2 linked regions of the Rattus norvegicus genome follow. The protein of the gene in region 1 purifies or fractionates together with the protein of each later gene. This does not show direct contact. Links are inferred from orthologs where the notes say so. Each region holds a gene or a part of one and is shown on either strand. Other genes may lie near its edges. The genes, in order: Hdac5 and Prkd1.

Evidence for each region.
Region 2: the proteins of Hdac5 (region 1) and Prkd1 purify together in Homo sapiens (affinity purification with western blotting; 4 studies listed by BioGRID, with this or other methods). This does not show direct contact. The link is inferred for Rattus norvegicus from reciprocal best matches to the Homo sapiens genes HDAC5 and PRKD1.

Annotation. Positions count from the first base shown.
Region 1 is NC_086028.1:87,670,344-87,679,648, forward strand, and holds the start of Hdac5 (histone deacetylase 5), read right to left. Parts: upstream 6,227-9,305; 5' UTR 5,690-6,226; coding exon 5,539-5,689; intron 1,138-5,538; exon of another isoform or gene 1,022-1,137; intron 1-1,021. UniProt on the Homo sapiens protein: Responsible for the deacetylation of lysine residues on the N-terminal part of the core histones (H2A, H2B, H3 and H4).
Region 2 is NC_086024.1:73,503,663-73,512,309, reverse strand, and holds part of Prkd1 (serine/threonine-protein kinase D1), read left to right. Parts: intron 1-445; coding exon 446-569; intron 570-1,911; coding exon 1,912-1,989; intron 1,990-3,487; coding exon 3,488-3,767; coding exon of another isoform or gene 3,768-3,797; intron 3,798-4,825; coding exon 4,826-4,878; intron 4,879-6,817; coding exon 6,818-6,890; intron 6,891-8,316; coding exon 8,317-8,423; intron 8,424-8,647.

The sequences.
Region 1 (9,305 bases):
AAATAAAGTGGTAAAACAAAACAGACAAACAAACAAACAAAAAACCAGCCAAATAGGATGGCATATGCTAACATCGGGAAAGCTGAGGCAAGATAATTCCCAAGTTTAAGTTTGGTAAATTCAAGGTCAGCTTGGACTACATACCTCTCTCTCTCTCTCTCTCTCTCTCTCTCTCTCTCTCTCACACACACACACACACACACACACACACACACACACACACACACACACACACCTGGGAGATCCAATGCTCTCCCCTGGCCTCCTGGGGCACCCAGGCACTACGCACATGGTACATGGTACACAGACATATAAAACAGGCAAACCGATCACAAAGATAAAGGAGTTAAAATAAATAAATAAAAATGTGCTTGTTGGGGCTGGGGATTTAGCTCAGTGGTAGAGTGCTTGCCTAGGAAGCGCAAGGCCCTGGGTTCGGTCCCCAGCTCCGAAAAAAAGAAAAAAGAAGCAAAAAAAAAAAAATGTGCTTGTTTGTTTAACCAAAAGTAAAAGCACACAAACTAAAATGTTTAGAATTATGTAAGGCCAACTTCACAGATCACTTAAGCTCTGTGGATGCTAGGCTCAGACTCCTGCCACAGTGAGGCCTTAACTGTCATTCATGTTGTCTGAAGGTCACTCTGTGAACCTGAACCATCAGAGCCTTTCCTACACACTGTACCATGACCAGCAGCTAGGTGCCACTGAAAGAGAAAAAGTTCTGGGAGCGGCGTCCTCTCGACTCTAGAGCTTGAAGGCCATCTCCCTGGCTTCACGGCCTGTGCTCAAATCTCAGCAGTGGGGTCCCTTCCATCCCCCCCAAATCACCTGAAACAAATAAGCACAAGCTTTGGTCCCTGCTTTCCAGGCCCCCAGCTCTAAGTAGTCTAATACTTTCCCATCCCTGACCTTACTGTCCCCCACTCTAGGTGACACCTCTGCCCTCTCTATCCTCCTGGGGCAAGGTGCTGGGCGACCCTCAGCCCTTCCTCCAGCAAGACAGAAGCAACATGAGACTGACCTCAGAGACCCTCAGAATGTCAGTAAGGAAAAGGCCCAGGAGCTCGGCAACTCAACGCCCCCAGCTGCAGGAGGAGAAAGTGAGGCCACAGAGGGAGTAGGCTTGTCCAAGGTCACCTGAAAAGGAGGCAGAGGAGCCAGTGCTTAATCTAGACTCTCCTGGCTCTCTCTGCCCCGCTCCCTACAAAGCAAAAGGGGAAAGCCTAGAGGCTGGCACCGAATAGAGAGAGAGATGCAACAAGGAGCCCTGAGGGTCAAACAACCTAAATAAGGCACCTGAGTGGTACCAGCATACCAGAGCCCAAAGGTAGAAGGGAGAGGGGGGCAAGTGGGGCAGGGGGGAAGAGCTGGAGGCAGGCTGAGACTCTGAAAGACCTTACAGGGATGCAGAATCCATGTAGGGGCCACAAGATGTCCCTGGAGTCAGCGCTGACCTTAGGTTGCTATCTAGAAGAGAAAATTCCCATCTCCCCACCATCCTGAGAATATCTGGGCTTGAAAGCTGCTGCAGACAATTAAAAGGCACAGTAACCATGCAAAACCTGCGGTGACTGCTCCTACCTGGGGGTGGGGGTTGGGTTGGGGGTGGGGGTGGGGGTTGGAGTGGGGGTGGCAAGGGCCCCAGGACAGATCTTGCTTGCATTCTCCATGCACAGCCCCGGCTTCTGTGTCCAGCAAGGCACCCTGTCCGCCTGGCTGCATGCCATTATCCCCCAGTGAGTTTAGACACCTGCTCCTGGCATCTCAAAACATCCTCTCTCCAGACTGCCAGGCTGCTGGGAATTGTATTTGCCTGTCTAGGATAACAGCCGCCCGCCTGCCCTCTGCATAGACCCTTCTCCCACCAGGGCCTTCCACGAAACCTGAGAGGCAGCCCAGACGCTAACACACTGTACATCTAACAGGCTGTACATCAGAACTGCCAGAGGAGGCGTTTAGACATTGCTTCCCGAGGTGTCCTGCACACTCAGAACCTGCCTCTGACCACATCTCCTTGGCAATTCTCTTGCAATTCAAAGCTGGAGAACCGCTGTCTCGCAAAGTCCCCGGACTGCCTGCACTCATTCCTGTTGACAGTCTGACAGCTGGTACAGCTGTGTGTGGACACGGTTAATCTGACTTCCTGTCTGGCAGCTGTACAGAGGGGAAGGGACAGCTGAGGGTCTCAAAAACAAGATGAGGTAGGAGGCCATGGGGGCAGAAGACGCTGTCTGCATGGGAGAGCAGTTTTACTCCGTTCTTGGGCGCTCGTCTTCCTTTGAGTCAAAGCAACGCAGGGAGAGTTAATTGGTCAAGAGGTTCCAAGTATTTGTAAGGGGGAGGGGCTACTCCTGGACACCCCAGGAGTGGAGCCAGAATGAGCCCTATTCTCTAGGAGCTCAGACTTTAGAAGGACATAAGGTTGTACATGTTGGATACTGCAGATGGGTCCCCAACTGAAGGGACAAACAGTTAAAATCTAGCCCATGCTCTGGTTACTAAGCCATAGACACTAGGTCCGAGGACACACCCACCCAGACAAAGGACTATTTTTTTTTTTAATCTAAGAGAAAGGTTTTGTATGGGTTAACAACGGCCCCACCCAGACAAACCTGAGTTCAAAGCTTAGCTGCTACTTAATCTGTGCTCTGGGTAAAGTCTTTCATGTCTCTAACCCTTCTCCACTATGGGATGTGGGTAACATCCTTCCTAAAAGGGACCAGTAAGGAAAGTCCCGAGTATCCTTGTCGCCTCGTGGATTACAATATTAGTTCCACTCAAGTCCTGCCCTTCCTACCTTCCTGGCATCCCCACACCTACACATTCCTGACACACAGCCATGCTTGGAATGGCCTCACGAACCTAAATAGGAACAGCCAGGGAAAGCCCCGGTTGCAAACCTGAACCTCATGGGACTTCCCAACATCCAGAGCATTCCTTCCTGGCACAAACCAGATCCGTACCTCCCTCAGCTGGTAGGGAAGCCTCTTCTGCCATTCCTTTTCACAGTTCACAGTATCCAAGGGCTCAGCTCAAGCAGAAATGGACAAGGGGAAGTCGGAGCCCCGCTCAGGGTCATCGGGAATCTCACAGTGGAATCAAAGGTCCCAGGAGCCTTAAGCTAGGACCGAGCCTAGTATACGAAGGTGCTCACTGCACACTGGGCAGTGACGGGGTAGCCAGACAGAGACACAGCCAGTCACACGCAATGGGAGGAAAATTGGTCCCTTTCCCCTTCCTTAATCAAGAAGAGCTAAGTGAGTGTTTCTGCCCCTCTTGAGCTCTCTTACCCTTAGGTGCCCACTGTAGCTGTCTCTATCCAGCCACCAGGTCAAGCCCCAAAATAGCACCCAGGCATCCTGCCAGAGGGCTGGGCCTCCACCCCCTCATCCAACACTCATTCATCTAAGTACCACCCACTGCGCTAGGTGTGTGTGTATGGGGGGGGGTAATGAGCACCCAACAACACAGCAGAGGAAACAAAAGCTGCCCCCAAATAAGAGTTCCCAGCACTTGCTGCTTTAAGGGACAGAGAGCTAGCATCTCAGAAGGCCCCTTCTCCAATCCCTTGGGTGGGGGACACCAGCAACGTCATCCGAGAACACACCCCTGGAAACGGGCTTTTTTGGCTGTAGGCTTCTGTGCCTTGTCCCGAGACTGCTCAAGAAATTGGAAGGAGAGGGTGCATGAGGGGAAAAGGGACTGAAGGGAAACACCAGGCTTCTGGGCCCTCACGGCCATGTTTATCTAGGGAGGATTTTTTTTTTAACCCAAAGGTTAAAGTGTTTCTATTTGAAACGACTATTTACATTCCAGAGTCCAAAAAAAAAAAAAAAAAAAAAAGCAGCCAAGCTCCAGGCCTATATCTGTCCCCAGCCGCGTCACAGACACAGCATCAGAACTGCTCAGGGGAACATTCTTAGCCCTCTCCCCGAGCTGCTGGGGTGACTCACACCTCCCTCCTGCCAGCAGGGACTGCACCACACTCTGAAGGCCAGGTTGGAGGGGGGGCTGGGGGGTGGAGATCTAGAGAGAGGGATTGGCTGGGGTATATATATCCAGGGATAGAAGAATGTGGTCCCAAACTTTCAGGGATTCTGGTGTCCAAAGCAAAGAAGACGAAATCAGCAGGAACTTGGGGCCAACTGGTAGCTCACTGCAGAATGGGTGACCAGCTAGAAGCCACCCTAGGTGATGCTCTACATCCCTTAACCTCCCAGGAGTTCCCATGAACATGCAGAGGCCCAGGTTTGGGGGTTGAGGACAGAGCTGTAGTTCCATTAGTCCTGAACAAGCACCAGCCTCTTGGGCTCCATCCCGGGGACTTGGTAGGCACACTGCAGAGCTGGTCTCCATGACTATGCCCTATACTAGGACACTGAATGGACGGGCATCCCTATCTATGTCCAAGCTGACAGCAAATCACATTCCAAGGATTTTCCAAACCTTCCCAAAACATCCTTCCGACACAGCCCAGTCTACTGAAGTCTTATCCCTGGACAGCTGAGAGCCAAATCACAGGTACCCACCAGAGAGAAACAGAGCTCCCACCTTCTAATTGAAACCTTCAGATCCACACATACACATATATATTCATTCTCATTCTCTCTCTCTCTCTCTCTCTCTCTCTCTCTCTCTCTCTCTCTCTCTCTCACCAAGCCAGCCACTGCCAGGAGGGGCCAAGCAGGCATGGGTCCAGCAAGTCCCTCCCTGGAGGAAGCATCTTGCCCGCCTGGTGGCAACAGGTTTCTGGGAGTGAGCGAAGGAGTGGCCAGCTTTGGGGGGACCCCACCCCCTACCAAGGATCAAAAAAGTTTCCCCAGAGAAGGTGGCAGGGCAAGGAATCCTCATGCTTAGGTTACAAGGGAGGTCCTCAAGCCCACCTGTGGTCAAAGAAACACTTCCTTATCCTCAGAAAGTGGGAAGAAGCCACAGCCCCGGGAAGGAAGAGATAGGAGGGAACTAGACTAGGAACTAAGCCAAAACCCTCAAACACCCCAGCTGCTAGCCTCTGCTCAACCCTATCCCAACAAGCCTCTTCCTAAGTGTCCATTCTTAAGAAGCCTCCAGACCAGAAACTTGCCAAAGTCACTACACTCTGACCAGGTCAAACCAAGCCACAGAAGCTTGGCTTCTGATTCCTGTAGGTACTCCAGGTACAACTTCTTCCTCTGCTCAATGGTGGGGAGAGCAAGGCAGCCTGGAGATCGGTCACTGACCCACTTCCTCCCCTCTGACCATGGTCCAACTAGGCCAGAATTCTCTAGGAAGCCCTAGCCCCTAGCAGCTGAGGCTGACCCTGCTGAAGGCAGAGGCACTGGAGAGACAGTGGCTAGGAGGCAGCGTGAGAGGATGGCCCTGGGCAAGGAGGGAAGGAAAACTGCTCTAGCCGCTCAGTTCTTCCAATCCATGGATGCTCAACAAAACCCTCAAAGGCTGAAGCAGAACCCCGAGGGAGCAACACTCACAGTGGGGTGCTCAAACCAGGTGCGAGGATGCCCAAGAGCTGAGGGCAGGTGGGGACACAGAGCCACTTACCTGCCACAGGGATGCTGTGCAGAGGAGTCCGTGGCAAGATTTCCAAGGATGGTTCCCGGCCTGACATGCCATCTGCTGAGAAACAGGACTCGGTCTCATAGATGGTCTGCAGCATCTCCACAAGCCCCTGTGCCTTGGGCACCAGCAGCATGCCAGGGAGGGGCCGCCCGAGGCGGAAGCCGGTGAGGGAAAGGTGGTCAGCAGGGCCAGCCGGCTGCTCAAGGACTCCCTCAGGCCACTGCCGCTGGGACCCACAAGGCAAGGAGGCACCTCATCCGGCCTGGGCGCTCCCGAGGCAGCAGGCGCAGGGAGGCTGAAGAGGCTGCAGGCCTGTTCTCCACTACGGGAGCATGGACCGAGGTCCGTCTAAAGGTTCCAGGAGTTGGGCTATGGCTGGGTGCTCAAGGGACAGGAAGGGGAGCTCAGTGGGCAGGCAGACTCTCTCAGTGTTCCCTCCCAGAGCCACCGGTGACAGCTCTGGGCTTGGCTCCCTGCTCCTCCTCCCCGAATGAGCCGCCGGCAGCTGGCAGGAGACTGAAATAGCAGTTGGGGGAGGGCCCTGTCTATAAATAGGTGGAGCATGCTCAGGGAGCCGCCGGCTGGCTGCCAGGAGCCCAGGCCTGGCGGAGGCCCCATGGGGGGAGGCGCGTTCCACCCCAGGAGGAAGCGCCAGTCAAGGGGGAGGGGGGCAAGGGAGGCCTGCACTCAGGGCCAAGGCCACAGACCTGGGTGGCCAGTGGCTGAACTAGAGAAAGGTGCAGGAGAGGACCCATGCTTCTGGGATCAGCTTTGGCCACTGCTGCTGGGGGCAAACAATGAACTGGACAGCAAGCAGCCAGCCTGGATCTTCTATCTTCCCCCTTTCTGTGCAGAGGAAAGGAATCAGAAAGACTAGGAAGAGGTGACAGACACCCAACCACCTGGTCTAACCTCACACCTCCTCCTTACAGCCTGTGGAGTTTGTGTAACTTCTGCCTTCCCACAGAGCCGGGAGATGCCTCCCTACAGTCTTACTATCAGGGAGACCCTAAATAGCAGTGGGGTGGCAGCTCTCCCACCCATTCTAGTACCACCTCTGGCACTCCGCCTCTTTTCAGGGAGCAGAGAGATTTTTCTGGGTAGGCTTTGCCCAGCCCAGGCAGGGGACTGGTCAGCACCAGCCCATTCTCAGCTCAATCAACGCTTTCCTGGCAATGTACCCAGCTGAGAGCACCACAAACCGCAAACATCATTGCCTTTATGCTAACAATGACCACCAGAAAGAGGCCAAGATGGGGAAGCTGAGTTACAGGAAGACGAAAGTTACTCTTGTCATAGAGCTGCTCACGGGATTGGTTGGGACTAGAAGTCTGAAGCACTGACCACCATAACTCATGGGCAGAATATACATCTGTCCCAGGGACAGGACCTCCAGTGCCCAAGTAGAAAGACTTGGGGTTGGAGGCCCTCCAGCTAGTCATGAAGCTGTTAGCACCCTGGCCTGGTGGAGTAGCCCCAGCTCTCCACCTTCCTGGGCCATGGGGCCACCGAACCATCAAAATTGATGCCACTGCCAGCACCACGCACTGTTGACCTCCCCCTTCTTCCCGAGTTGTGCCTCCCACTGATAAAGAGATCCCACTTGGCCCCCTGACCTCACTGGAGCCTTTTAATAGACTGGTTATTCCTGGGTCTATAGCCTCCTCCCCTCTCCTGACGTCACAGTTACTATTTTGGACCCCTCCTGCCCCCTCCTTGCCCCCCACTCCAGGCACGGAGCCAGGGACACCTGTCCTCTCTCTGGACTGGATGACCTCACCCTCCTGTCAGGAGCCTGGGAGAAGCAGTCCAACCAAGGACATGGAGGCTGTGACTCCAGAAACCCATCTTCCAAGCTTCTGCCTCCTCCCTCAGGTGGGAAAACACACACCAGGGTGGTGGTAGAAACAAGCTTTTCCAAGCCTAGTGAGATGCAGATGACCCTGGGGTTTGGGGTTTGTTTCCCAGTGGTAGACTAGGAACTGAAGTGGGAGGAGTCTAGAGCAAGGAGTCACGACAGATTCTAGAAGGAAAGGCAGGAGACCTGTGCAATCCGGGGGCTTGGTGCTGGAAAACATCACCTATCTACTGCCCCTCCCCCAGCTGCATCCAGATCAACGAGGTCTCTCAAGAGGAGAAGGAAAGACCAGAGGCTCTACCAAGGACAGTCAGAGGCAGACACAAGGGAGCCCAGAAAGCCGGGGGTAGCAGCCCCTCCCAGACGGAGCTCCACCCACCCACGCTGAGAACAACCAGAAGGGCTGGCTAGCCCTGTCCTGGCACACTCTTACCTGCCCCAGGCACAGGAGAGAGACAAGGGAGCCCTGCTCAGGGAAGGACAGCAGCTATGACAAATTGAAAGCAAAGCCCCTGGGACCCTAGATTAGCCTGATGTCAAAGGAGGTCTCCCTTTTGTTGTTGTTTGAGACAGGGTCCCACTCTGTAGCCAAGGCTAGCCTTGAACTCACAATGAGCCTCCTGATTCAACCTTTCCACTGCTGGGACTATAGGTTTAAACTATTAAGCTTGGTAAAGAGGATTCTTCACAACTCTTTGAGGACAGGGGCACTCAAAGGCTCAGTGAGAACAGCCAGCACTGGTATGACTTCTACACTTTAGCAAGAGGTCTCCCATCTTCAACGCAATTTCCAGAAACCTCTGAGGAAATGTGCGGGGACAGGTCTAGGGGGAGGAACGACAAGCATCCCTCCTCTTCAGAGATGCAGATGATGTAACGAGGTCTTCCTAATGTTTAACCTCAAGCTTTCCTGCTACAGCACCCCTCTCTCCTGCCTACTTTTCCATTCCTATCCATCCACCGCTCCCAAGACCCACCCCACAAATCTCCCAGAGTGCTCACGAAGCGTGTAGTCCACGAGACACATCCTAAGCCAGCATCAGCAAGTTCAAGCCCAGCTTGGGCTACATAACCAGCTCTGTTCTCCCAGCAGCACCTCTACTCCCTACCTCTAAGGCCACGCTCTGCCCTTCCAATCCTGGAGCAGAAGGGAGAGCCCATTGCTGCCTCCTTCAGCTCTGCCTGATCTTATTTCCTGGGCCCAAAGACTGGCCTGCGGCTCTGACCAAAAGGGAAGAGAAGTCTTCTGCCCAAAGCTGGTCCAGAGCCCCTGGGCTGGGAGATGCCTGGGAACCATCAACCCTGGTACCCTGTAGTTCTTCCTTTGAGCCCAGTCATGCTGGAACCCGCCAGTATGGCCCAGCCAGGTCCACAGTTAGGTACTGGCTGAATCTCCTCATTTAAAAGCAACTGTAGGAAGAATGTGGACACACACTTTGTCATCTTCTACTTCCCCTCTCCTCACCAGTCAGTCCTAAGCCTTCAATCCCTCTGGAAGCCGAGCAGAGGAAGAGAAAGGAGACTCCAATCTGCCAAGGCACCTATAGGGAGAGGAGACCAAGGGTCTTCTCCCCAGACCCCTGCCCATGCCAACCAGCACTGACCCACTTTCTCCTCCTTTGGCTGGCTGCCTGCCTTCCCAGGGGCTCAGCAGCAGAGCCTGAGGCAGGGAGACAGGACGCCAAGGTTCCTGGCTCCACCCCACACCCATGCCCCAGTTTCTCTGGTCACCCCAAAGGGAGGGGGCAGTTGCCCTCCCTCCTGGGAAAGGGAAGGAGAGAAAGTATAGAGGGCGCTAGGAGGTGCTGGGCAGACAGGTGTTATCATCCAGCTCATCTTCCTCCCACGCAGGGCATAAGGAACCTAGATGCCTCCCCCAGGGCCCCACCAA
Region 2 (8,647 bases), on another chromosome or scaffold:
CTGGGAAGTTCTAGTTTGTTTTGTTTTATTATTTATTAAAAATCATTTAGAAAATTTTGTACAGAAGTACATTATCTATAAATTATCATTATCATGTGTGTTGCGTATAGCAAACTTTCCTCTGTGATTTTGAATACTGTGGCTTCAACATGCTGACAGTAAACCCTGCTGTTTTCCTAAAACTTTGAAAGCCATCAAGATCAATAAGAAAATCTCTGTGTGTCTGACTCTGCCTAGGGAGTTTTAAAGTGAATGTCTGAAGTACCTGTCACTCCCCCAAGAAACTCCCTTTCTGAGCCATCAACCTCTGACAGTACATTTCACTGAAAATGAGACATGCATTTTTTTGACTTGTGCTTTGAAATAGTTTAAATGAGCTTTTACTCGTGGAAAGAAGATCTGAATGTGAAAATATTTCCCTGCTAACATATTTTGACTTTTCAAGCCCTTCTACGAGCAACAACATACCGCTTATGAGGGTAGTGCAGTCTGTCAAGCACACAAAGAGGAGAAGCAGCACAGTGATGAAGGAAGGGTGGATGGTCCACTACACCAGCAAGGACACACTGGTAAGGAGGTAGAGCTGCTCCCTAGGAATCTGATGTCCTGGGGGACTGTGGGATATGTGAGTTCTGGGGCGTAGACCTCCTAGCACAGGCATGGGTCAGCAGAGCACATGATGTCTGGATGTTTGATGCAGATGAATAGGTATTGGGGTTAGAATAAACCGTACAAAGGAATTCCAGTACAGAAAAAATAAATCTGCAGACAACTGGAATATCTGCATCATTCTAAGGACAGCCGTGGCAGGAGTACTGCATGGTTTTAGTGTGTCCCTCTGTGGCTGAGAGGTTTCAAAGAAACTGTGCCTTTTGGGAAGTGAGAGAGAGCACTGCTGACTATTATATCTTCTCAAGACTTAAACGCTTTGTTTAAAAGTTTAGCCACGCAGGTGTGTGACAACCCTGTAGTGTGTTTCCTTTCTTGACAGTAGAACCCAAACAGCTAAATAATATTGTTGTGTATACGGCTAGAGGAGAGGCATGGTCCAGAGTTTAACTAATCGACATTTGGTAAGAGTTTTGTACCCTGTTTTCCCATCTCTAACCACCAATAGGATTTACACCACATCTTTAGATAAAGAGACATGTGTACCTTACTTGGTCATTTATAATTCATACCTTCTTATGGGAGAGAAAAATTTAGTTCAGGACTCAAGTGAACACTATAACTTTCTCCTTGGGCCAGTTGGGAAATATTTAGGGCATATTTAATGTTTGGTTTAAAAGTGGTTGTGAGAGACACCAAAAATACATGCCCACAAAGGCAGAGCACTGAGAGAGCAGAAACCCAGTGACTATGTCACAGTGATGAGCTGAGGGGCCAGCTGAAGAGGATGTTAAGTGTCAAGTGCATTGTCTAAACTTGGAGCCATGGCCTTCCATCTAATGAAACTTACTTAGTGATGTAGCATTCAGTGTTCTATGGGGAGTAGAAACGAAAATGCCTAGCTGAATCTCAGGGGCTGTCCTGTTCTGAAAGATAAGTGCATACAAACTTTCTACCTGCTATAAGCATTGGTATTTTGTAGACTGAAAATCTCCTTTTAGCTTTTCAAGTGAATAAATGTTAATAACGAGAGTATTTTGCTATTCATTGTGTGTATGTGAATGGCAGACCAGGTACTTCCCAGGATGCTAATCCAGTGTCTCTGTTATAATTCACAGTCTTAAAAGTACCTATAGAAACTTGTCACAGTGGGATCATTAAATAGCTTCTTGAGTTAAATTGTGATTTGTTTTGGCCTAATGCCCTTAAATGTTTCACCATCAAAATCACATTCCCACTGAGAAACTGCACTTGTTTTTGTAAAGCACGTGGACTTTTAACGTTTTGTAACTTCTGTTTCAGAGGAAAAGGCATTACTGGAGACTGGACAGCAAAAGCATCACACTCTTCCAAAACGACACAGGCAGCCGGTACTACAAGGTGAGGCCGGCTTCTCTCAGTTTTGCTTCATGATATTCCTTAAGGTAATCTGGAAGTTGGTCGACATCCAGCAGTGTGACTATTCCTGGGATCCTGAGAGAGAGAGAGAGAGAGAGAGAGAGAGAGAGAGAGAGAGAGAGAGAGAGAGAGAGAGAGAGAGAGAGAGAGAGCGCTTTGAATTGGTGGTGTGCAGTTTTTGTAGAAATTCAGATGTGACATCTTGATTCATGTGCCATCTCACTGTTGCCAGCAAACGGCTTCTGGCCCAGGGATGCCAAAGAGCAGGATGACAGAGAAGGAGATGGAGGGAAGCTAAGGGAAGCATTTCAGCAGAGTTGCTTGGTTTTACTAGAGAGTCAGTGGGCACAACCAGTGACTAAGAGGAAAGCCTCACATCCTCAGACAACCAGCACTGCATGTTAGCAGGTAGAAAGAACCATTCCTCCGCCATTGCCAGCAGTTAAGAGGATCACATCCCTGCATTTATCATCAATTGTCTGCCTTTCTACGTTAAGTAATAAATGTGTAGTATCTAGTGTAGTCCCTGTGATCCTTCATGCTCCCTGTTACACAGCTGTGACACCAAAGAAAAGGTTATTACATTTTTAATTGAAAAACTAAGTTATTACTTTAGTTACTTTCTGCATCCCGCAGTATGGTGTGGCACTTCAGGTTTTCAATACTTAAATGATAAAAATAATTAGTTTGGGGGTTGGGAGAAATAGCTCATTCAATAAATTACTCACCACATAACCCTGGGGATCTGGGATCTGAGTTTAAATTTTCATAATGCATTATTGTCATCATCATTTTCATCGTCATCATCATCATCACCCAGGCATAGTCTAATATGTCTTAAAACCCTAATGTAGGTGCAGCAGACAGAGGCAGATTTTTGGAGCCTTTCAGTAAGCCCTGAGTTCATCGAGAGATCCTGTCTCGAGGATGAGTAATAGTGATTCAGGCAAATTATTTAAAAACAAAACTACTTTGTAAAGAAATTACTGTGGTTTTTCTCAATGAACACTCATCTATATAACTACATTATATTATCATATAGAATCAAAGTATATTTGAATGTGGTAATTCAAGAAATACTTGAAATAAAAAGCAGCCATGAATAACCAAATGCATTTTAGAAAATATTATAATTTGCTTCAAAGCTTCTATTAGGAAGAAAAGAAGGAAGGAAGGGAGGGAGGAAGGAAGGAAGGAAGGAAGGAAGGAAGGAAGGAAGGAAGGAAGGAAGGGGGGAAGGAAGAAAGGAAGGAAGGAAGGAAGGAAGGATGGAAAGAAAAGATGGAGAGAAAAGGGAAATTTCTCAGAAAGTGTAATAAGGCCTCTTGTTATAAAAATTTACATTTTATACATACTGTATATGTTATAAAATGTTGTCTGTATATTCTATTTGTAACTTCCTTTCTTACACAGCATGGGTTTTATTTAATAATTGACATGCGTTTGGCTAACTACGTTTATCATACTTTGTCTTCCACAGGAAATTCCTTTATCAGAAATTTTATGTCTGGAACCAGCAAAACCTTCAGCATTAATTCCCACTGGAGCTAACCCTCATTGTTTTGAAATCACTACAGCAAACGTAGTGTATTATGTGGGAGAAAACGTGGTCAACCCTTCAAGCCCCCCACCAAACAACAGCGTCCCCCCGAGCGGCATCGGTACCGATGTGGCGAGGATGTGGGAGGTCGCCATCCAGCACGCTCTCATGCCTGTCATCCCCAAGGGCTCCTCTGTGGGTTCCGGAACCAACTCACACAGTGAGTCCAATGACTTCCGTCTGTCACGGGGTACATACATATACTTCAGTCTGTCACGGGGTACATACATATACTCGGGCCCCTGAAGGTCGAGTAGGAAACCTCCTGCTTTCCCCAAAGAGACTCACTGTGCTGGCTCCGGTTTGTGGCACAACAAGGAATCACTGAAGAGAAGCTGCTATGCTTACTAAAATGTTTCATTTATTAAACTGTTTTACTTATTTTATAGTAGAACTTTTATAAAGCCAAGCAGAGCCTATATACTGTATGACCAAAGGTGCCCACAGTTGTTGTTCCTAAGAGAACCCGTACAGTCAGTTTGAGCGTCACTTGGATTGCCACAGATATGAACAAGATGTATTTGCCACAGATTCCCTCCTCCTCCTGTACCCGTGGTATAAACCGTTGTTCCTACTTGATGACCTTATCCCAGGAAGACATTTCTGTGCATTAGTAAGAGAGGGTCAGCCAGAGTGTAATCACGATGGAGTGCTGAAGGGGAATCTAAAGAAATGGAGGAGTATCTATATGAAATTATGATCTGAATTCTAGCATGCAACCTGCACATTAACCTGTTTTAACATTATAGTAGATTTTATCTGTCATAATTACCTTTTTTCTCCTCAGCCAGTATATTAATAGGATATGTGCTTATTCTGTCTAAAAGAATGTATCTGTATATAAACTAAGCACTTACTCGAAGACCTCTCTGTTAACTCCGAAAACCCCGTCCCTTAATGATTTGCCCACATTCTAACAGGAACAGTTCATCTCTAGAAAGTTAATGGTCTCTTAGCTAACAGAACTGCTGCATGGGACAGCCAGAGTTGGAAGTCTTCCTTTAGTCTGAGCTCTGTACTGACAAATGCATATGTAAAAACAAATTGTAGATACAATGTTTAATGTTAAGGGAACAAATATATTTTAATAGAAACTTTGCAGAAAAATCTAATTGCTGTGATGAATATAATATAGTAATATAAATGTAGCCCAATGGGATTTTTTAATATATTTTTACTATTTTATGTCTGTTTTTTTTTTAAAACATGCACTTCCAGAAGATATTTCGGTGAGCATTTCCGTTTCGAATAGCCAGATTCAGGAAAATGTGGTAAGTCTGTGTCTATTAATATACCTCTCAGAATGTGATTTCTGGAAAATAGAAAGTATCACATGATAGATTTTTATTTATCTAAATTTCTGTTTATTTTCTTTCATGATATTTTACAAAATCAGTTTACTGATTTTCCTATATTCTATAATATAGTACCAAACACTGTTTGTAATAAAAGACAGTTGTAGTATGATCATTTATCTTGTTTTTTTTTTGTATTTTGTTTTTGTATGTTTGTTTGGGGGGGATTTGTTTTGTTTTGTTTTGTTTTGTTTTGTTTTATCAAAATAGGATAAGTGGTTTACCAAGAGGCAGGCTTGGTAGTGACAGCTAGGAGTGCCACTGATCTACACTTGATACTTGAAATTTAATGGTTGGTACTGCACAGTAGAATAGATGCAGTAAAATAAAGTTTTTATTTGTAGACGTGTTTTAACATGCATTGCTTACCTCCTTGATAACAAGGCTTGCTGATAATGAAAGGGATTGTAAATATTCTTAGTCACATACACGTGCCACAATGCAGAGCTCAAAGACATTGCAGAAATCAGGAACCACAGTCAGCAGACTTTTCAGATTTCAGAGGCTACAGATCACGTTGTGAGATGTTTCATTTGAGGTTGTGTTTGTTTGATTTTATCTCAGTACTCAAAATGTCATAATGCCTCTTCCTACCTCAGTGCTGTAACCAACAGCATCAACTGCTCGCTCTACCTAAGACCCGAACAGAGCAGTGTACCCTCCTGTTTACAGTGACCTGAGGCTGTTTATCCAAAACCAAACTCCTTCAATGTCTGTTCAGTACTGCTCGTGTCCCTGGAACTCTTGATGAACTTGTTTAAGCTGAACAAAGGCAAGGATAAATTACAGGGAGGCAACTTCACTGTGAAGGTTAAGTGGACGCTTGAACTGTTCAGCCTGAGATGTAGGCCTCAAGACTGCAGGGTTCACCAGCCCTTGTTTAGACAGAGAAGACCTTGGGGAACACAGGTTACTGTAATGCTTCCTGGGTAGTCCCAGGGATCTCAGAGGCCTTTTACCTTGGTTGTCCACTGAAAGTTTTGAAGTGAATTTTCAAAGAAGTTCTAAAGAATCTGTTAGTTAGCTTGGCTGCAGGAAAAACAAAAAACCAGAATAATGATTTCCATTGCAAGAGAGCTTTGAATTCACCTTCTGAATGTTCCAAAGGGATCATGGTATACAAGCTTCCAAGTTGCTTTCTAAGAGAAGAGAAGGACAGTGGTGAGAGTAGATTACAGACAGGGGAGTGTGGCTGATTTTTTTTTTAACAATCAAGAGCTATAAAGTTGAAATAAGTGGAAAATGTGTTAGAATGCACCATACCATGCAAATAAAAAGATAAAACTTTGTAATGTTTCCATGAAGGTGCAATATGAAACCCAAATTAGCTCACCCTCCCTCCAGCGATTATCATTTCCAAGTGGCACTCTGTGTGGGTTATTTATGTAGTAACTGGGAATCCTGGAATGGTTGTCTATTGCTTAGGTTCTTATAGAAATGAAACAATCAGGAGTAGCCTGACTGTCCTGGCCTGAAGGTGAAGCAGGATTGTTACAGACATGTGATGAAGCCATGGAATAGTTAATGAAATTTCTAAATTACTAGTGTAGAAATAAGAATATATTTTCAGATATTTATAGTAAAATCCATTGATTGGTTTGAGGTTCCCCTTCTCTCTATTAAAATGCACCATATCCCAAGTACTTAAGAGCAGAATAGTTTTCAAAATATTATATGAATGCAATTTGAATGTTATAGCCATTGAAATCTTATCCAACATTTACAAGTGTTAAATGAATCTTGGAATATTTAATTATATTTCTATTCAATCAGCTAATAGTAATTATAATTGTAAAGTGTAACAGGATTAAAGCCTTCTCCCTATCTTTGTTTTCCTCTGGATATCTACCGGTAGGATATCAGCACAGTCTATCAGATTTTCCCGGATGAGGTTCTGGGTTCTGGACAGTTCGGAATTGTTTATGGAGGTGAGTAGGTTTAATAAATGTTTTTTATGAACTTAAAAGTTTAGGCACCTGGGTTATTATATTTCTGAGAAAATGATAAACAAGCAAAAGACACGTTATTTGTGTATCTGGGAGTCACCTTCAGAGAAGCTTCTTGTGAGATAGCCATTCTTTGAAAAACTCATAGATTTTTAGAGTTTCCTATTCCTGAAAAGCTTGTTTTCATATATATTTGAAAACCCTACTCACAGTGTTGCAGTAGTTTGAATTTTTGTATTTAAACAAAATGTTGTGGAAACGCAGAGGCTGTAGTTTATGAACAAAGCAGTTCCATTCTGTCAGCATCTTGGACTCGATCCTTACAGGTACGATGTGTCAGTGAATCTGGAATCTTTGAACTTTAACATTTTCCCTGTGTATCCAATTCATAGCATCTGAATGTTTTAGCTTTTCGAGGTCAATGTGGGTGTTTTTTACTTAGATCCTAGACAGTTCGGTCAATTTTTTCAAGCTTTTACATAACATTTAATTTTAAACTTTTGACTGCTATAGAAAAATGGTACCTTAACTTTTCTTTCTTTGGTAATTAACAATTGGTAATTTTTTTGAGTTTGTATTTTATAAAATAATCATGTCTAACACTTTTACTTTTCATCATAAAATTACAAAAGCTCTAAATACAGAATTTTCAAAATTTAAGTTGCTTTATTTTTCAAAGTGATCTTGATTCTTTTAAAAATATCAAACTGTTTTATGGAAACATAATGAATACTAATCACTGTAAACAAGAGTAGTAACTAATGCCTTAATACATAGTCCTATAATAAGAGAAACCACGTTAATCTATTTTCTACAATGTAATAATTGCATAGTTAAAATTATGTTCAATAATGTAGAAAATATATGTCACAGCACATAGGTGATGGTGAGGCAGGGGTGATGATAAGAAAGAAGAGAGAGCAGCAATCAGAAGGGGGTTTGGACATTGGATACTGGTGGACTTGAGAGACTGCGTAACAGGGTGGAGATCCCCAAGGAAGAATGGAAGTGTGAAGGTACACAGATGGAGACAATGAGGATAGGGTCTCAGAGGTGTGTGGTCTCCACAGCGACGGAGAAGTGAGCTACACGAAGCTCTCACTATGTCAGGAGCTGCTGCTGTAAACTGCTGAGTTCAGGTAGAGTCTGTATGAGTCAAGGCATGAGCATTGATGTTTCAAGAAAGTCAGACAATAAAACTGAGGGAATATGCTGATGAAGGGAAGTCATCTCGAAGGGAGTAATGAGCACCATGAGAACAGCATGCAAGAACAGAGGACTGTGGAAGTCAAAGGTGTCGACGGAACATAATTTCAAGGTAGTTTAAATGGCCAACACTTCTCACTAACTGCAACTGTTAACTTGCTAATTAATTAATTGTTTAATGTTTCTCATTTTTATCTTGAAGGTAAACATCGTAAAACAGGAAGAGATGTAGCTATTAAGATTATTGACAAATTAAGATTTCCAACAAAACAAGAAAGTCAGCTTCGTAATGAGGTTGCAATTTTACAGGTAAACCGATTCTTATTTGAGAGTTGTAAATTCCTCTCCTTGACTTCTGTAAAACAATCAAAAGTCATGCAGATACCTACAGCCCAGAAAATTAATGGCAGGTTAAGTGGAAAGGCAAACTGAGTCAGACTTAACTGAGTGGTACACTCCAGAGACTAGAAAAGTTGTTCTTTTTAATGGAATTATACTACACTTTAACATATTAGTAATATTCATTAAATAGC